Linked DNA regions of Oryzias latipes. The protein of the gene in region 1 binds, or shares a complex with, the protein of each later gene. Links are inferred from orthologs where the notes say so. Each region holds a gene or a part of one and is shown on either strand. Other genes may lie near its edges.

Region 1 (5,110 bases):
TGAGAAGGAATCTCCAAGTCCTCCGCAGGATGAGAGGGAAATTCCAAGTCCTCTACAGGATGAGAAAAAATTTCCATGTCCTCCGCAGGGTGAGAAGGAAATTTCAAGTCCTCCACAGGATGAAAAGGAAATTCCCAGTCCTCAGGATGAAAAGGAAATTCCAAGTCCTCCTCAGGATGAAAAGGAAATTCCAAGTCCTACTCAGGATGAAAAGGTAATTCCAAGTCCTCCTCAGGATGAGAAGGAAATTCCAAGTCCTCAGCAGGATGAGAAGGAAATTCCAAGTCCTCAGCAGGATGAGAAGGAAATTCCAAGTCCTCCACAAGATGAGAAGGAAATTCCAAGTCCTCAGCAGGATGAGAAGGAAATTCCAAGTCCTCAGCAGGATGAGAAGGAAATTCCAAGTCCTCAGCAGGATGAGAAAGACAGTGGAAATTCAAAGCCAAATGAGAGAGAAAGCCAAAGCCCTCTGCAAGACGAGGAAGAAATTGAGGAAAGCTCTCTCCAAGATGTCACAGAAAACGCTGGAGAAAAGGAGAGCGCTCTGCAAAATGGGGAAGAAAATGAAAGTTCACTGCAAGATGAGAAACCAAATTGGATCTCAATTCAAGGTGAGAAAAAAATTGCGAGACATGACGATGACAATGAAAGTTCTTTGCAAGGAAATAAAGAAAATGCTGGTGTGAGCCGCTTGTGTTCAACATAAAGCTGTTAGTTTTAGTGGAGTTTACATTTAAAACAAGAACTCCAATGACACCATAAAAACAAAATTGAAACTCTTACCTTTCTGAACGCATTCATTTAAGGGACTATGCTACATAATACCGTATTTCATGAAACATCATGTTAGTCGTTTTGTATATACTTATGTCATTGTTAGTTTCTTTGCATTTTGTATTTACTGGGTTTTGTCACATCTTTGTAATATTTTACTTGTTTACTTTTTTCCACTCAGCTAAGATGAATTTTGGTTATTCACTTTTAGAAAATGTAAAATATGTTAAAAGTGTATGTAAATGATTATATGATGTGTTATTAAAAGTTTTTTTGTTGTACCCTGTCTCTACCAAAGTATAATTTCCTAATTTAAGTTTTTAATTAAGAATCTTTATTCAGGAAAATCTAGTTTAAACAAAATTTGACTAGCTTTTATCAAGTAGGTAAGGACAATTCTTAACACTTAAGCTCAGCTTAATGATTGTGTTGGGTAATAAGGCAGTAGTGATCAGTTTTTACATTTTTCTTATAATCTTGGAATTTTATGGTATGCGTTCCTACAAGGATGAATTGGCTCCATGAACTGAACTTCGGCGTTAAGCTATGCTTACGTAGTTTTATGTTGGATAAATTTAAAAATCCCACTCCGATCATCTTTAGTGATATTTCCAAAGCATTCCCAGTAATTATGATAATGTTTTTTTTTTAATACACTAAAATAAAATTGAAAAAAATCTGCTTTTTGGGACAGTTTCTGCACGGTGGCAGTAGTTCATTAAAATTTTGCCTCAGGAAGTCGGCAGGAGCATTTGCAAGTTACAACCCCACCTTCCCTCCCAGGGAAAATAGTTTTTGGGCTGCCCAGCGTATTTTCTACGTCACAAGAAAAGTTCTTTTCACCTGACTCACAGCGATTTGCATAAAGATATTGCCGGGAATGTAATTTTATACTTAAATGTCTTCATATATGCTCTCCATAATCAGAAAAACGCTACAAGAACACGTTAAAAATAAGATTTTGCTCACATGTTTGTTCCCGTTTACAACTGTCACTCGACACTGAATGAAGAAAATAGGAGCAACCAGGTCGGAAATCCAGATTTGATGATTGGTGGAAAGCAGAAGAGGGCGGGACTTGTGTCTAATTCAGTTATTCGATTGGCTCTCTTCCAGTGTACGTCACTTTAGTGTCAAAGTAAGAGACTGTTACAAAAAATATATGTATTTCTGGGCTCTTGTTTAAATATTACCTGATCAGAATGCTCAGTCAACACAAAATAAATCCTAAAACTGCTGTAAGTATGATTTATTAAAGCAAAAACAACAACAAACAAACACTATAGCTGTGCTTTCGACGCGCTTACGCCGTTGTTGTGTTTCCTTAGCAGGTAGTTTAGCACGCGAGGCTAACAGGCTTGTATATAAAAATAAGGGTTAAAAAGTTGACACGTAGAGACATTTGTTTGATACTATACGCGTCGTAAGATTAATCTATTTAGCTAAGGTTGAAATGTGAATTGTTAGGTAAAGCGGGTGACTTCTTGCTATCATAGTTTTCGTTTCATTTTTGCTCTAACGTTTTGCAGACTAGCTAACCCTGGCTGTTAAGTTTGTTCCGATTGTTTAAACATTTATTTAGTAGTGCGAAAGTGAAAGCATATAATTAAGTTTAGCCATCAAAGTCAAATATGTTTTAGATTAGATAAAACTTTATTTAGCTTAATCATCTCACAATGGGGAAATTCTCTAAAGACCTGATGATTTTAACTGATGATTCATCAGTTTAAACTGATGATTCTCTAAAAACCTGTTCTAAACCTGATGCATAAGCTGCATAGAAGGATAAAGTCACTTTGCCTGCTGTGTGCTTGCAGGTTGCATAAAGAATCTCTGACGTGACAGATGACTAAGTGGAAGAAATCATGGCATCTGAGTAGGTTGGCTTCACACTGGAGGTTCAAGCTCACACAATGTCCCACTGTAACAGAGAGCTGGTCCGGTTCTATTTAGCCTATAAGATGTCATGCAGGGACTATCCTGTGTCCCTGCTGAAGCCCACAGACGATGGGGGAGAAACTGAAGAGGACCACTCCGATGCCCGGAATCGCAGGCTGGTCAGCAGTGAGGACGGCCGGCTGAGGAGGTCCTGTCCCTGTTGTGCTAGCATGGACGCCATCAAATCAACTCTCAAAGATTCGGCCGATGAGTTTGAACGTCGTTTCCATCAAGGTTTTAGTGATCTCTCCGTGCAGCTTCATATCACTCCAGACACGGCCTACCAAAACTTCAAAAGGGTGTTGGATGAGCTGTTCAAGGATGGGATCAACTGGGGGCGCGTTGTGGGTTTGTTTGTCTTTGGTGGTGCGCTGTGTGTCGAGTGTGTCGAGAGGAATATGGGTGAGCTGGTCTCCCGCATTGCTGAATGGATGACCCAGTACCTGGATGAGCAAATAAGTCCATGGATCCACAGTCATGGAGGATGGGTGAGTCTCTTCCTGACATAGTCATGATTTTTTAATGTTGGTCCAGGATCAAGTGGACGGTGTCTGTAAGTTTATGTTTTCATTGTTGAGTCCATATCTTCAGTTTTCTTGACATTCAAAGTTCTGTTTTATCCTGTTTGTTTTTTTGACAGAGTTAGTTAATTGCTGCATCTCTATAGTCATCTTTCATTCTGATCCTTTATATAACTTTAAAACTTTTAAAAAAAAGCAACATTTACTTATTGGAACTGTGGAGCTGTAAAAGAATTTCCTAAGTCCTGATTCTCCAGAAGCCACTTTAAGTCAAAAGTTAAGCATTTTGGCAGAAACCCAGTTTTCTGTTTTTTTATAGTTTCAAATCTGATTTACGTTCAGCAGAAAACATTCTTCCATCTATTTTTTTTGAAGAGGAAAAACCAACATCTTAGACATTTACATGGAGATTGTTTTTTTTTTTTTTTTTTAAAGTGAAGTGGATGGTGTTTGAAAACTCCCTGTCAAGTCTGTTTAAAGGGCCTATATTACGCTTTGTCGAAGCATTTTAGAGTAAACTATTTTCATATATAGGATCATATATTACCTTTGGCACACAAAATAAGAATTTCTTATTATTTTCAAGTTATTTTCTACCTGGAAGTGAGACGACTCATTTTTTGTGTGAGAAATTAACATTACAGTAACTTAAAAGCTCAAAAAGTTGAATTTGCTTGATATGAGCCCATTAAAGATTTACTAAGCATTTATAACATTTATGATAAAAACAAAGCTTAGACATCCTTTGGAAATAGCAGTGGAATTACAGTGATATAGTGATGGGATGATGATGCCTAAAGGAGTGTTAATTTCTCAACACTGTATTGACAAAGTGTTGATTCCTCTATAGTGACCCCTGCAGTAATTCTGAAACTGTTAAAGCCCCACTTGAATTAAAATGGGATCATGTCAACATGTTTTTGTAACATTTTTCTCATGATGGAGGATATATATATATATATATATTTTTTTAAACTGCAATTTTTGAGTATTTCTTTATTCAAAATGTTGTGAATCAGGAGAAGACAAAAAAAGCCTGTAGTTGTGACAGAAACTACAATCAGTAGGTCACAAGCTCCCTGCTCTGCTCCATTCTGATGCATCCGCTCGCCGTTTTTTTTAATCTTTTACTTTACACACAGAATAACAGTCTAAAAATGGATTCATTCATACATTTTAATAAGAAACAAAAGTTTTTGTAGTCTTTGTTTCAAAATGATTTCTCTTGGTAGGACTTCGTATGAAAGTGCAATAACCCTTGAATCCCTCATCTTCAACAGCAATGAGTGGTTGACAGTCTTTCGTGATCATCTTCACCGTGGCCTCATCCGTTGCTTGTTAGGAACTGCAAGTTAAAAAAAAATCTTTAGTTTAAAGCTTAATTTTTATTAATAATATTGCAAACACACACAAAGACTATTTTTGAACATGTCAAAGACTCCCATGAGGATTTTCATATTCTGTGCTGCCACATTGAGCTCTATAATGCCTCAGCATTGATGGATTGCTCTAGTTCAGTGTTTTTCAACCTTTTTTGAGCCACGGCACACTTTAACCTTGACAAAAATCCCGCGGCACACCAGCATCCCAAAAAAAAAAAAGAAGCAGAAACTCATAGTCTGTTTTGATTTACAGCCCCCCCCCCCCCCCCCCCCCCCCCCGGCAATCTGACGTGCATTTTTGTGATAATTGTGGCAGAAAAAGCAGGAAGTTGCAGATGTTTTTCTAAAAGATGTAATAAAAGTTAAGTTACATACAAGCTGTATGTTCGTTGTGTTTTCAAGACGCTGTCCCTTTAAGCCAATGCATCATGGGAGATGTAGTGTAAAAACTGCGAGAAAACGGCAGAAAGACTCGCGTCTCTGAGCTTCATGGTT
Region 2 (5,028 bases), on another chromosome or scaffold:
GGTGGACAGAAACTCAATGTATGACATCAGGTTACCTTGTGGATTAATCAGCTGTGTCACAAGAGAAATGTTCTTTTCAAACTAATTTTCAAGACAAATACTCTTGTTTTTGTATAGAATATCTGCATTGTTCCAAATATAGTAGCGCTGAGTAGAAAAATTATGTTTGTAGATCAAAGTCTATGCCAATAAAACCTGCTTATGAAAATTAGACAGTTTTAAAGGATTTTTTTCCATTATTAAATTACATAATAAAATAAATGGCAGACCTCCAAGCTTATCAAATATGTATTTTTATATGAAATTCTAAAATGAGGTTTCACTTTTTAAGAAGTTTTTTTAACCATTTCATTTTGATGACATTACTTAGAATGGAAAAGTTAAGAAAGTCAAGTCCTCCGTCTTTTGATGAATTAATTACTACTGATTATCGTACATAGTGGATTCTATTTCTCCAAAGGAAGTTAAAAAGTATCTGATCAATCCTTTTTGCATTTTTACCCTCTTCCCTTCTCTACTTCTGTACCTGTCCCAAGCCCGGTTGCTTTGAGAGGGTTGCGTCAGGAAGGGCATCCGGCGTAAAACATTGCCAAGACTACCATGCGAATCTTCCACTGTGAAGTGGCTGATTCGCTGTGGCGACCCCTGATGGGACAAGCCGAAAGTGAAACAACTGTCCAGAGATAGTGAGGAAACAATGTAGACTAGTCTGGAAATTCCTTCTGCTTTTGCTAAGAGGACGTGACCTTTTTGTAGCCAGCGATTAAACTTATTTTGTGCTTTTGCAATCATAGGATTATAGTTATTCAGTTCTCTTTGTTTTTGTTCTTTAGTTATCTGCAATCCCAAATATGTGACTTTTTCTTTGACTACTATACTATTTATGGATGTTAGAGCACATTGTTTAAGAGGAAATAACTCACATTTCTTTAGGTTTAGATAGGTCCTGATGCTTTTGAAAATGTTTCTATAACTTGAAGAAACCTGTGAGGAGTTTAAGAATAATGATTCATCTGCCAGTTGACTTACAAGAATGTTTTTACCAGCAATAGAAATCCCATCAATATTCTCAATTTTATTTATCTGCAGAAAACGTGTGCAACCAGAAGAAACAGGTATACAGAGACAGTACACCCCTGTTTTATTCCTCTCCGAAGACAGAATCTGCGACTCGAGTAGTGCCAGCACTCAACTTGTGACGTCGTGAGTTTTGGCAGAAAAAAAGGGGGAGGGGTGAAAATGAGGAGCTTTTTGGTTCTGCGCTTCTTCTCTGGTCATTACGGTAACCAGACCAGACAAACAAGTCCTAGCTCGCAACAGTGACGTCAGCGCGCTGCGAAAGTGCAGGGGCGCGCGGCGATTGGGCGAAAGCGGAGCAGGGGTGTAATGTGCCGCGGGCAGAGAACACCAAAACATTAACAACAAGCAGTTTCTGCCGCTCGAAGCTAACTTCGGAGACTCTTTCCCACCTCCGGAGCGGACGCCGCAGAGATTTCGGGTGAGAAAAACTACTTCCAGGAGGTTCTCTTTAGCTGCGCGGAAGGTGGAGGGGACCGCTTCCGCCCTGTATGAAGTTTCTTTTGTCCTCTTGCTCTTCGGTCAACAACAACACAAAACAAACGAGGCAGTGTGTCGACGAAGAGCACAGCTCGCGAGCGCGTTGAACTACGAAAAACAAAGTACGTTATAACATCTTAACGAAGCGCGTGCTGTCAAAGTTGTGTCCTTATCTCGTGGAGTTGTTATTTTTTTAATACCTTTGGACTCAACCACTGATAGGCAGCTGGGTGTGTTACAGGTAGACACATAATTCATTTAGCTAATAGACATTTTATGACTCTAGGAGTGGAAAGTTGGGCCTAGCTCAATTTCTATTTCATTTCGGCTTCAAATGTGAAAGAAAAATAGTATTTGATTTGTGATGGTCTTCGTTTAAAATGATCATCAAGCTTCTCTGGTAGTGAATTATTGGAACAACGTGTCCTCAAAACACCTTTTTTTCTGCAGATGTTACGATGGCAGCAAAGTTCACCATCTCAGACGATTCGGAGTCATCCGAGGAGGTAGAGGGAGGAAAACTTGACCTGGGAGCGGCAGCAGGAGGAGAAGGGGAGCACCTTCATGATCGACATTCCCTCACCCTGCCAGAGCTTCGACTCACAAGTAAGCAGACCAAAAGCATTATGGGAAATGAGAAGCACTTTTAAGAGTTGTTTGAGAAAATTCCAGTCTTAAGGCAGCAGGATTCGGATTTTTTGGGATCCTGAGGTGGAGCGGTTAGCTGTTTTATAGGGTCACTGTATGCAAGAACTGGACTGAGCGACCCCTCCCACCTCACGTTCCAAACAGGAAATCCCTGCTGGCTCCAAGAAGACAAAGTCTTATAGACTTCTATTGCGAAATAATCAACTATTGCTGACTCTATATGATCCTTTTTTTTAATAATTATATTTTTTTCTATAGTGCAAATTATTTCAGTTATAATCTGAGCCTTCAGATGCCTCAATAAAAGCATGTGGTTTCATGTCAAACATTTCACTGACTGATTCTCCCAAATGATAGGGCTGTAGACCTTTAACAAGCTCTCTCCTGATTGGTGAGTGGTTTCCATAGAAACTTTGACTCAGACCAATCAGAGTTTACTAACATTGTCCCACGCATTGCCAACATTTTGGCGACGACATTGACTTTGTTTCATTGGAGCTGGATGGACGGTATTTCCTCACTATACAGTGAATGGCTTGTACTTCAGTTTTTGTTAGGACCCCATATAGAAAAAGCTGTCATTGATAGGGGATGGATAATTTTCTCAAGGATAAACATTGTCTTTAATAAAGCGTTGTTGTTGTTTTTTTTATATTTATGAAATATAAATATGCAGTTTAAATTGTAGTGCCATTTAGATGACACAAAAAGAAATAGACGCTGAAGGAGAAACTAATACCTGCTGGAAGAACAAAAAGGGAACAAAACTTTTCCTAGTGGTAAGGTAATCACTGTCTCACCTAAATGTGAACACAATCAGAGATTGTGTGCAGTCAGTACAGTGTTTTCTTGTTTATCATGGAGTTACATTCTAAATATCGATAAAGTTTGATTCTTTTCATATCCAGACTTTTCTCTCTTTTTTTTAACTCTCAAATCTCAAGCCTTCGTAGAAAATAAGTCCAATATTATAGAATGAAAACAAAGATGTAACTGTGGCACAAATGAGATCCACAAGGTCTACAGCCAATCAGAACGCAGTGTGCTGTATAAAACAATACACATACTGAATTGCACTACAAAGATCCACGAAACAGTGAGACAGCGATAGATGAGCCGCGTAACAGAGTGGGATCACGACCCCAAAAACGTTAAATCTCAAGTTGAGTAGAAAGAGTTTGACTTGTTTTGTTTTGGAAGCTGCTGCTGCATGGAAACTGTCGACAGTGAGACTCTCTGGACTGTCCACACGATTCAGCTCAAACTGCGGATTCTGACGCAGAAAAAGGCAGCTTTGCACCGATCAGCAGCTCACTACTGTAAAGTTTCGCACGGCTGCTTTTCTATGCATCGGAAACAGCTGAAGTGACGTCAATTGTGCGACTGCTTAATGAATTACGGTCGTCGAAAGAGCTAAAGCAGCGGCGTTAAAGGGTTCAACGGCCTCTGGTTGGAGTCTTCTGAGGATGGAGCCGTCAGCATCTGCAGCTGTAGCCTACAATCAACAAAGTGACTAGTAACTGCAGAAAAAGTCACTATTTAACAGTTTTTGAAATGATTTAAAATGGAACAGAACCGGGTTGTCTGTGTTTGCGCACGAATCAGTGGAGCCTCACGGGACGTGGCAAACGTGGCATCAGATACTATTTGTCTGATTGTTATTTTCCTTATGTTTTTAGCTCGTACGTTTCATGGCGCAGCATCATTATATTTGACCAAAACTTTATTTTTTACATTTTTTATAAACTAACAGGCAACATAAAAAGGGGAAAATGAGGCCGAATTCCCTCACTGCTGCCTAACTCCCAATGCATTTTGGGATTGTAGATTCCCCTCATAAGTGGCAATTCAGACACAGCAGAACCCTTGAAGGGGTGTTTCCTCTGTCTTCAGGTCTCCCAGGTTACCCGTACTTTTTCAACGTTCGTTAACATTTTGTCCTTACCTGTCATAAAGGTAACGGGCGTACCAGGCTGAATTCAGAGTCCACCGCTTCCACGTACTCCAGAGATGAGGACCTCGCGCGGGAAGACGAGGCCGGAACCCCCACTGATGGGTTGGCCTTCAGGGGCAGATCCAAGTCGGCCCCTCCGGCTCTGTGGGCCGCCAAAAAGTACGGTCAGCAGCTCCGACGGATGAGCGACGAGTTTGACAGCCTGCTGGATAAAGGGGTAAGAGCGGGTGGCGAGGGGGCGGGGCGGCAGACGAGAGTCGCTTCCCGGATTTGAACGTGACATCTGCCTTGTGCAGGAGATGAGGAAGGTGAGGAGCACTGGGGCGGCCAAACAGATGCTCCACTCCACGAGCTGGTGGAACTACCTCTTCAGCCACCCGGAGGCGGAAGGAGAGTACAGCCACCACGAGAGCCACCGCACTGAGTAAGGATGGAGAGGAAGACTGTTGTGATGAAGGACTCGGAGGAGGACAGAAACCACGGGGGCATCTACACAAGAGGAGGGGTCGACCCACTCAAATACGAGAGGAATGGGAACACTAAGACCGGGCTGAACGGGTCTCCATCTTTGAACTCGCTCATTTCTTTTAAAACATTTTTGTCTTTCTTTGTATTTGACTGTGATGTTTTTTAAAAAAAAAAAAAGCCCACTTGACTGAGAATTTAGACATTTGACACATCAGCGTATACAATGAAATTATCATCAAATATAAGCAATCTACTGCAGGCGGAGAAAAAAAAGGCGCCGACATCCGGCCGTCAGAGGAGATAGAAGTGAAAACTCCTCCTCCTGCGGATGAACGGGGGCGTCTTTTATCTCCGTATGGCGAAGACGGAAAGGGTCAAAGTGCTCGATTTGGGCTCGTCCG
Region 3 (4,940 bases), on another chromosome or scaffold:
CTCCATCTTTCACAGGGTCGTACCAGATTTCATGTGTCAGGTACGGAGGCAGGGGGACTGATCTTGTTTTAGTAACATGAAGCTCTCTGTCCCTCAGAGCAGGATTTCAGCTTCTCCCACACTTTCCACTTTCTGTTTCAGGGTGGTGATATCACCAACAGCAACGGCACAGGGGGCAAGTCCATCTACGGGAGCTCGTTTGAGGACGAGAACTTTGACGTTCGCCACACAGGTCCAGGGATCCTGTCGATGGCAAATCGAGGACGCGACACCAACAATTCCCAGTTCTTTATAACGCTGAAAAAAGCAGAACACCTGGACTTCAAACACGTGGCGTTTGGCTGGGTTCGGGACGGCATGGATGTTGTTCAGCAGATGGGAGAGCTGGGCACAAAGCAAGGGGTTCCCTCTAAGAAGCTGGTTATCACAGAGTGTGGACAGCTGTAGCCTTTTGAAAGTCTAAGAGCAACATGGAACTCTCTTCAGGCTTTTGAAGAGCACAATCTTTCTCCCAAAGCACAATCTTTAGTCACATTTTTATTAAGAAGGTAAAGATTGGAAACTATTTTGCAGTGTAACCTCAAATGGGAAACAGTGAGGAGGAGAATTTTAGGGCAATGTTACCTTTGCTCCCTTTTGACATGTCATTTAAATATTGGTCAAGAGTTTATTTTTTTGTGTAAAATTGTACATGAACTTTTAAAGGTGTTTTTGTTTGGGTTTTTGTTATGTTTCTGCTCCGTTTGACTGTACTGGTTTTCTTCACTGCTAGTTGAATGTTTTGCGGTTTTTCAGGAAGCAGCTCTGTCACCACGTACACGTCTCCCATTTCAAATGCAGTCTCTGGTTACATTTTAAAGTGGGAAACCAACAACATTTTCTTTGAGCAACCGCCGAAGGTCATATTTACCCTCTGGAGGGTAACTAGATGTTTCTGCTTTACAAACTACCAAGATGTTTGATTATGTGTACAGAGTGAGATGACGTTCAATTCAGATACTGCTTGTACCAAAACAAATCTCAAAATTAATAAAGTTGCTTTACAAAATATTTAAGTGTTTGTTTTCAGTGTCAAATTATTGATTAAGCTTTCATTTAGCATTGGAAAAGCTCTTTATTACAATATGAAGGGGAGCTAAGATCATGATAAACCTAAAGGAACTAAAAAGGAAAACGTTGGTAAGGTATAGTTAACTGAATTATTTATCACAAGGAAATAAAGTGGGGAAATAATATATTCGATTATTAAAACTAGGAGATATAATCTATAATGATTCCGTAAAACATTTTTACGAAAAGACAAACATAATAGTGCATTACCACTTTTGGCCGCCACCTCCAAGTAGCAGCAAACTAAGTACGTGGCTGTCCGGAGTGACGTCAGCAGGATGTAAATACGGTGCCCAGGCGCATGCTCGGTCTTTTTCCTCTCCTGAGCTTTTTGGGGCGGTCGGCCTTGTCTCTGTCTCTGGAAGATCTACCACCGAAGCAGCCAAAATGATCATCTACAAGTGCGTCATCAGTGGTAAGTCGATGTAATTGAGTTTTGTGTCTTGAAGTTTGGTGATGTTACGGTCTAGAAAGCCTAGTTTGAGGCGTTACGCTGTTAGTGATGGGAAACTAGCTTTCGGTGGCTAGCTAGCTAACTCGTGTATCGTGTTCAGAAGTTAGCGATGCTAACGAAAACTATGGAGTGTTATCCGCCCCGCCGGTTAGCCGGCTTTTCCGAAACAGAGTTTTGGCCGCTTTTCAAAAATGTATACGAAATCTTTTCAGTCTGAGCCAACGCGTTTGTTTCGTACTAATAAATAATTATCGGGCCTCTGGATTTAACACTGCGGCCTGGCGTTTTAGAGTTGTGTGGGAGTTTTTGTCTATAGCTTTTCGGCTATATAGCTTCTAGTTCAGTTTGATTTGTGTGGCCAGAGTGTGTAGACTGGCAGTGCACGCATTTTAAATTGAGTTGGGTTCATGAAACTGTAAAGTTCTGGAAAATTACCAAGATTATATTAAGGGGTTTTGTTTCGCTTTGATTTTTAGTGTGTATTAGACTCAGGGTTTAAGCTATTCAAGGCACAAAGAAGATAGACTATTCGGCTTTAATCTGGGAGAGGCTTTTATTTAGAAATGCACAGGAAGTGCGGGTTTGAACATGTCGTACTAGTGATGGAGTGTGATTCCACTTAATTGAAACCATACAATAGGAAAGTTTTTCAGTAAGGTAGTGAAATGTGTAATAAATTTGGTTCTTTATTACCCCTCAAGAGTTGTGCTTACCAATGTTCTTTTGTTGTAGGGGATGAGATGTTCTCTGATATTTACAAAATAAAAGAAACGGAAATCTTCTACGAAGTTGAAGGAAAGGTGAGTGAGATGACACAATCATCACAGAAACTGCTATTCAGCTAAAAGGGTTGACCTATATTTTTAGTATCTTTCAACTCTTTCACTTCAACATAGTGTTTTTCCAAGTACCAGTAAATGAAACTTAAAAATTGTGAAAATGTTGTTGAGCTTCATCTTGTTACTACGCCCCTATGCCTTTTTGGGTTACATGTTCTCACCCTGTTTGTATTGATTTCAGACGGTCACCAGGACAGAGGGATTTGACGATGCCTTAATTGGAGCCAATGCATCTGCCGAGGAGGCGACTGAGACCAACGAGTCGAGCACAGTTTCCGGGGTGGACATTGTCCTCAACCACAACCTACAAGAGACGGGCTTTGATAAGAAGGGGTACTTGACTTACATTAAAGACTACATGAAGTCGTGAGTATCAGTCTTTATATATTTCAATCCCACAAAAAGACATTTACCAGTTTGGACAGCATCAAGAACATGGCCTTGCTTGTATGTTTAGTATTAAGGCAAAGCTGCAAGAGTCCAACCCTGACAGAGTGGAGAAATTCATGGCCGAGGCTCAAGTGGCAGTAAAGGGCGTTGTTGGAAACATCAAGAACTACCAGGTATTTACAAAGCTGTCTTCTGCAGACTCTTTTAATGGGCTCCATTCATTGTTTAGTGTTGGATGTACTTTCAGTGTGATGACAAAAACAAGGAAACAGCAGACAGTGATATACGTGACACTAAACATCTGGCTTGATTTCATTTAAGAACCAAATGAACGTCTTCGTTCTGCATTTTTCTGATGGACATATTTAAAGAAAATTTATATTAATTTGTTTATGTACAAAATCAAGTCGGGATACATCCTTTATCAGAAAATAAATGGTGACACCCAATTCTAAACAGTAGAAGACGTTTTTGTTTATGGCTATAAAAGATTTGCGCTAATGTTTTACAGATGAGCAGAAGTACACGCATCAGATTAAAACATAAATCTTTAGTGTGAAAAATCTCCTGCAGGGTAAATTTGAGATTTTAAAATGGGTTTCTTTGTATTTATTCATCAATGTGTTTTCTAGATTGTCTATTTGAATCACAGCTGAAGGTTAGTTACTAATTTAGTCTTTTTTTTAATCCTGTAAGGAGATATCCTTAATGTAAGGATATACAATGTAATGCAACTCTGGAAAATGCTGTTTACTCACAACGTCCCCCCCATAATACTATTTGATGGAATGACGGGGCCAAACCAAACTTCCCAAAGTTTCAATGGTATTTTGGACAGCTCATCACATTTGAACTCAGGTTCTAGTCCTCTGACCCGCTCAAAGAGCATATTTGGGACATAGAGGCTGGGAGATGCGATTCCTTTGCTGATTTATTCTAAATGACGCAATTTTTGATTTTATGGCCTTAAAGCGTTCATTTTTAGAATGAACCAATTGAGTTATGTAAATGGTGTTTTATTTTTCCAAATAAACTTGCATAGATTTGGACTGTCCTAAAACACAGTACAGTTTTATTTTTGGCTAAAATGGTATAATCATAATTAAAGCCACTGAAAACGCTTTAAAAACAGGGAAAAAAAAGATCATCGAAACTGGACTTAAAAATTCTCATTTGCTTCTCAGTTTTACACCGGCGAGTCCATGAACCCCGAGGGCACGGTGGGTCTGCTGGACTACCGTGAGGATGGTATCACACCATACATGCTCTTCTTCAAGGACGGCTTGGAGATTGAGAAATGCGTGAGTAGCTTTTAGTGTTTATTATACGTCATGGCTAAAAATGTTTTTTAAAAATCTAATTCTCACTGTTCTGTTTTCAGTAAAAATCTGCAATGAGAACTGCTGTTCAATTGCCTGCTGCTTCCCAAAAGGCCCCCCAGGAGCAGACCTAAGGAGCCCCCACTCTGTGCTCTTTTTGTCTGAATGGATACTTTTGTCCTCAGGTTCCACTTATGCTGAGCGGAATCAAACACGGTCACAGAATACAGTTTTTAAACTTTGTTTTTGGCTTTTGGGTGCTTTTTGTCTCCATGGAAACCAAGTGAATGATTGAAGCTCTGACTCTGGCCAAAAGTGTTTTTCCTTCATCTGCCTTCAGTTTTAGCAACAACAAACATCCCAGACCACATTGAGTTTGGGTTTATGGTTTCAAAATTCATCTATCAAATAAAGATAATGGAAAAAAAATATTACCAAGTTCTTCTTTACATTGGAGTGAGTGTGCTCAAGTTTGAATCGCAAACGACGCAGCTTTAGGTTGACAGATATTTGACTCGTGCAAACTAAAATGTAGGCGTAAGAAGAATCTAAAAATCTTCAGGAGCATTTCAAATGCTTATTCTGTTGCCAGAACTGTTCGCTCTGAGTTTAAAAGTTTGGAGCAAAACCGTAATGGTACAAAGTAATGGTTTGGTCGCCGTATTGCAAAATAACCTGAAAAGGTGGTTTTGTATTTGACAGTCTGCTCCTGCTCAGTCCTCCGTAGGGTCAAAGGTCTTGCTGAGGACAGCGGTCCATCACAGACTCCCCTATGGGACTATCTACTCGAGCCACCACTTCAATGAAGCATGTGTCTGGACTGTGGGA

The links.
Region 2: the proteins of bcl-2-like protein 1 (region 1) and bad are in contact, whole or in part, in a crystal structure (PDB 2BZW), measured with the Mus musculus proteins. The link is inferred for Oryzias latipes from reciprocal best matches to the Homo sapiens genes BCL2L1 and BAD. Residues at the interface, in NP_001276645.1 of Mus musculus: Ala93, Glu96, Phe97, Arg100, Tyr101, Arg103, Ala104, Phe105, Leu108, Gln111, Leu112, Gln121, Ser122, Gln125, Val126, Glu129, Leu130, Arg132, Asp133, Asn136, Trp137, Gly138, Arg139, Val141, Ala142, Phe146, Asp193, Leu194, Tyr195, Gly196; in NP_031548.1 of Mus musculus: Ala137, Leu141, Ala143, Ala144, Gln145, Tyr147, Gly148, Arg149, Leu151, Arg152, Met154, Ser155, Asp156, Glu157, Phe158, Glu159, Phe162, Lys163.
Region 3: the proteins of bcl-2-like protein 1 (region 1) and tpt1 are in contact, whole or in part, in a crystal structure (PDB 4Z9V), measured with the Homo sapiens proteins. The link is inferred for Oryzias latipes from reciprocal best matches to the Homo sapiens genes BCL2L1 and TPT1. Residues at the interface, in NP_001304848.1 of Homo sapiens: Ala93, Glu96, Phe97, Arg100, Tyr101, Ala104, Phe105, Leu108, Gln111, Ser122, Gln125, Val126, Glu129, Leu130, Asp133, Asn136, Gly138, Arg139, Val141, Ala142, Phe146, Leu194, Tyr195, Ala199, Ala200, Ser203; in NP_003286.1 of Homo sapiens: Phe14, Asp16, Ile17, Lys19, Ile20, Arg21, Ile23, Ala24, Asp25, Gly26, Leu27, Cys28, Leu29.

What each region holds. Positions count from the first base shown.
Region 1 is NC_019863.2:26,338,877-26,343,986, forward strand, and holds the start of bcl-2-like protein 1, read left to right. Parts: upstream 1-1,780; 5' UTR 1,781-2,012; intron 2,013-2,591; 5' UTR 2,592-2,619; coding exon of another isoform or gene 2,620-2,650; 5' UTR 2,651-2,687; coding exon 2,688-3,200; intron 3,201-5,110. Other genes in the region: activity-dependent neuroprotector homeobox protein, read left to right, coding at 1-706. UniProt on the Homo sapiens protein: Potent inhibitor of cell death. Inhibits activation of caspases. Appears to regulate cell death by blocking the voltage-dependent anion channel (VDAC) by binding to it and preventing the release of the caspase activator, CYC1, from the mitochondrial membrane.
Region 2 is NC_019876.2:12,866,369-12,871,396, forward strand, and holds the start of bad (bcl2-associated agonist of cell death), read left to right. Parts: upstream 1-1,504; 5' UTR 1,505-1,679; intron 1,680-2,007; 5' UTR 2,008-2,015; coding exon 2,016-2,163; intron 2,164-4,161; coding exon 4,162-4,376; intron 4,377-4,455; coding exon 4,456-4,587; 3' UTR 4,588-5,028. UniProt on the Homo sapiens protein: Promotes cell death. Successfully competes for the binding to Bcl-X(L), Bcl-2 and Bcl-W, thereby affecting the level of heterodimerization of these proteins with BAX. Can reverse the death repressor activity of Bcl-X(L), but not that of Bcl-2.
Region 3 is NC_019879.2:17,098,878-17,103,817, reverse strand, and holds tpt1 (translationally-controlled tumor protein), read left to right. Parts: upstream 1-1,420; 5' UTR 1,421-1,497; coding exon 1,498-1,525; intron 1,526-2,296; coding exon 2,297-2,364; intron 2,365-2,584; coding exon 2,585-2,769; intron 2,770-2,860; coding exon 2,861-2,966; intron 2,967-3,977; coding exon 3,978-4,094; intron 4,095-4,174; coding exon 4,175-4,177; 3' UTR 4,178-4,541; downstream 4,542-4,940. Other genes in the region: RANBP2-like and GRIP domain-containing protein 8, read left to right, coding at 1-40, 142-447. UniProt on the Homo sapiens protein: Involved in calcium binding and microtubule stabilization. Acts as a negative regulator of TSC22D1-mediated apoptosis, via interaction with and destabilization of TSC22D1 protein.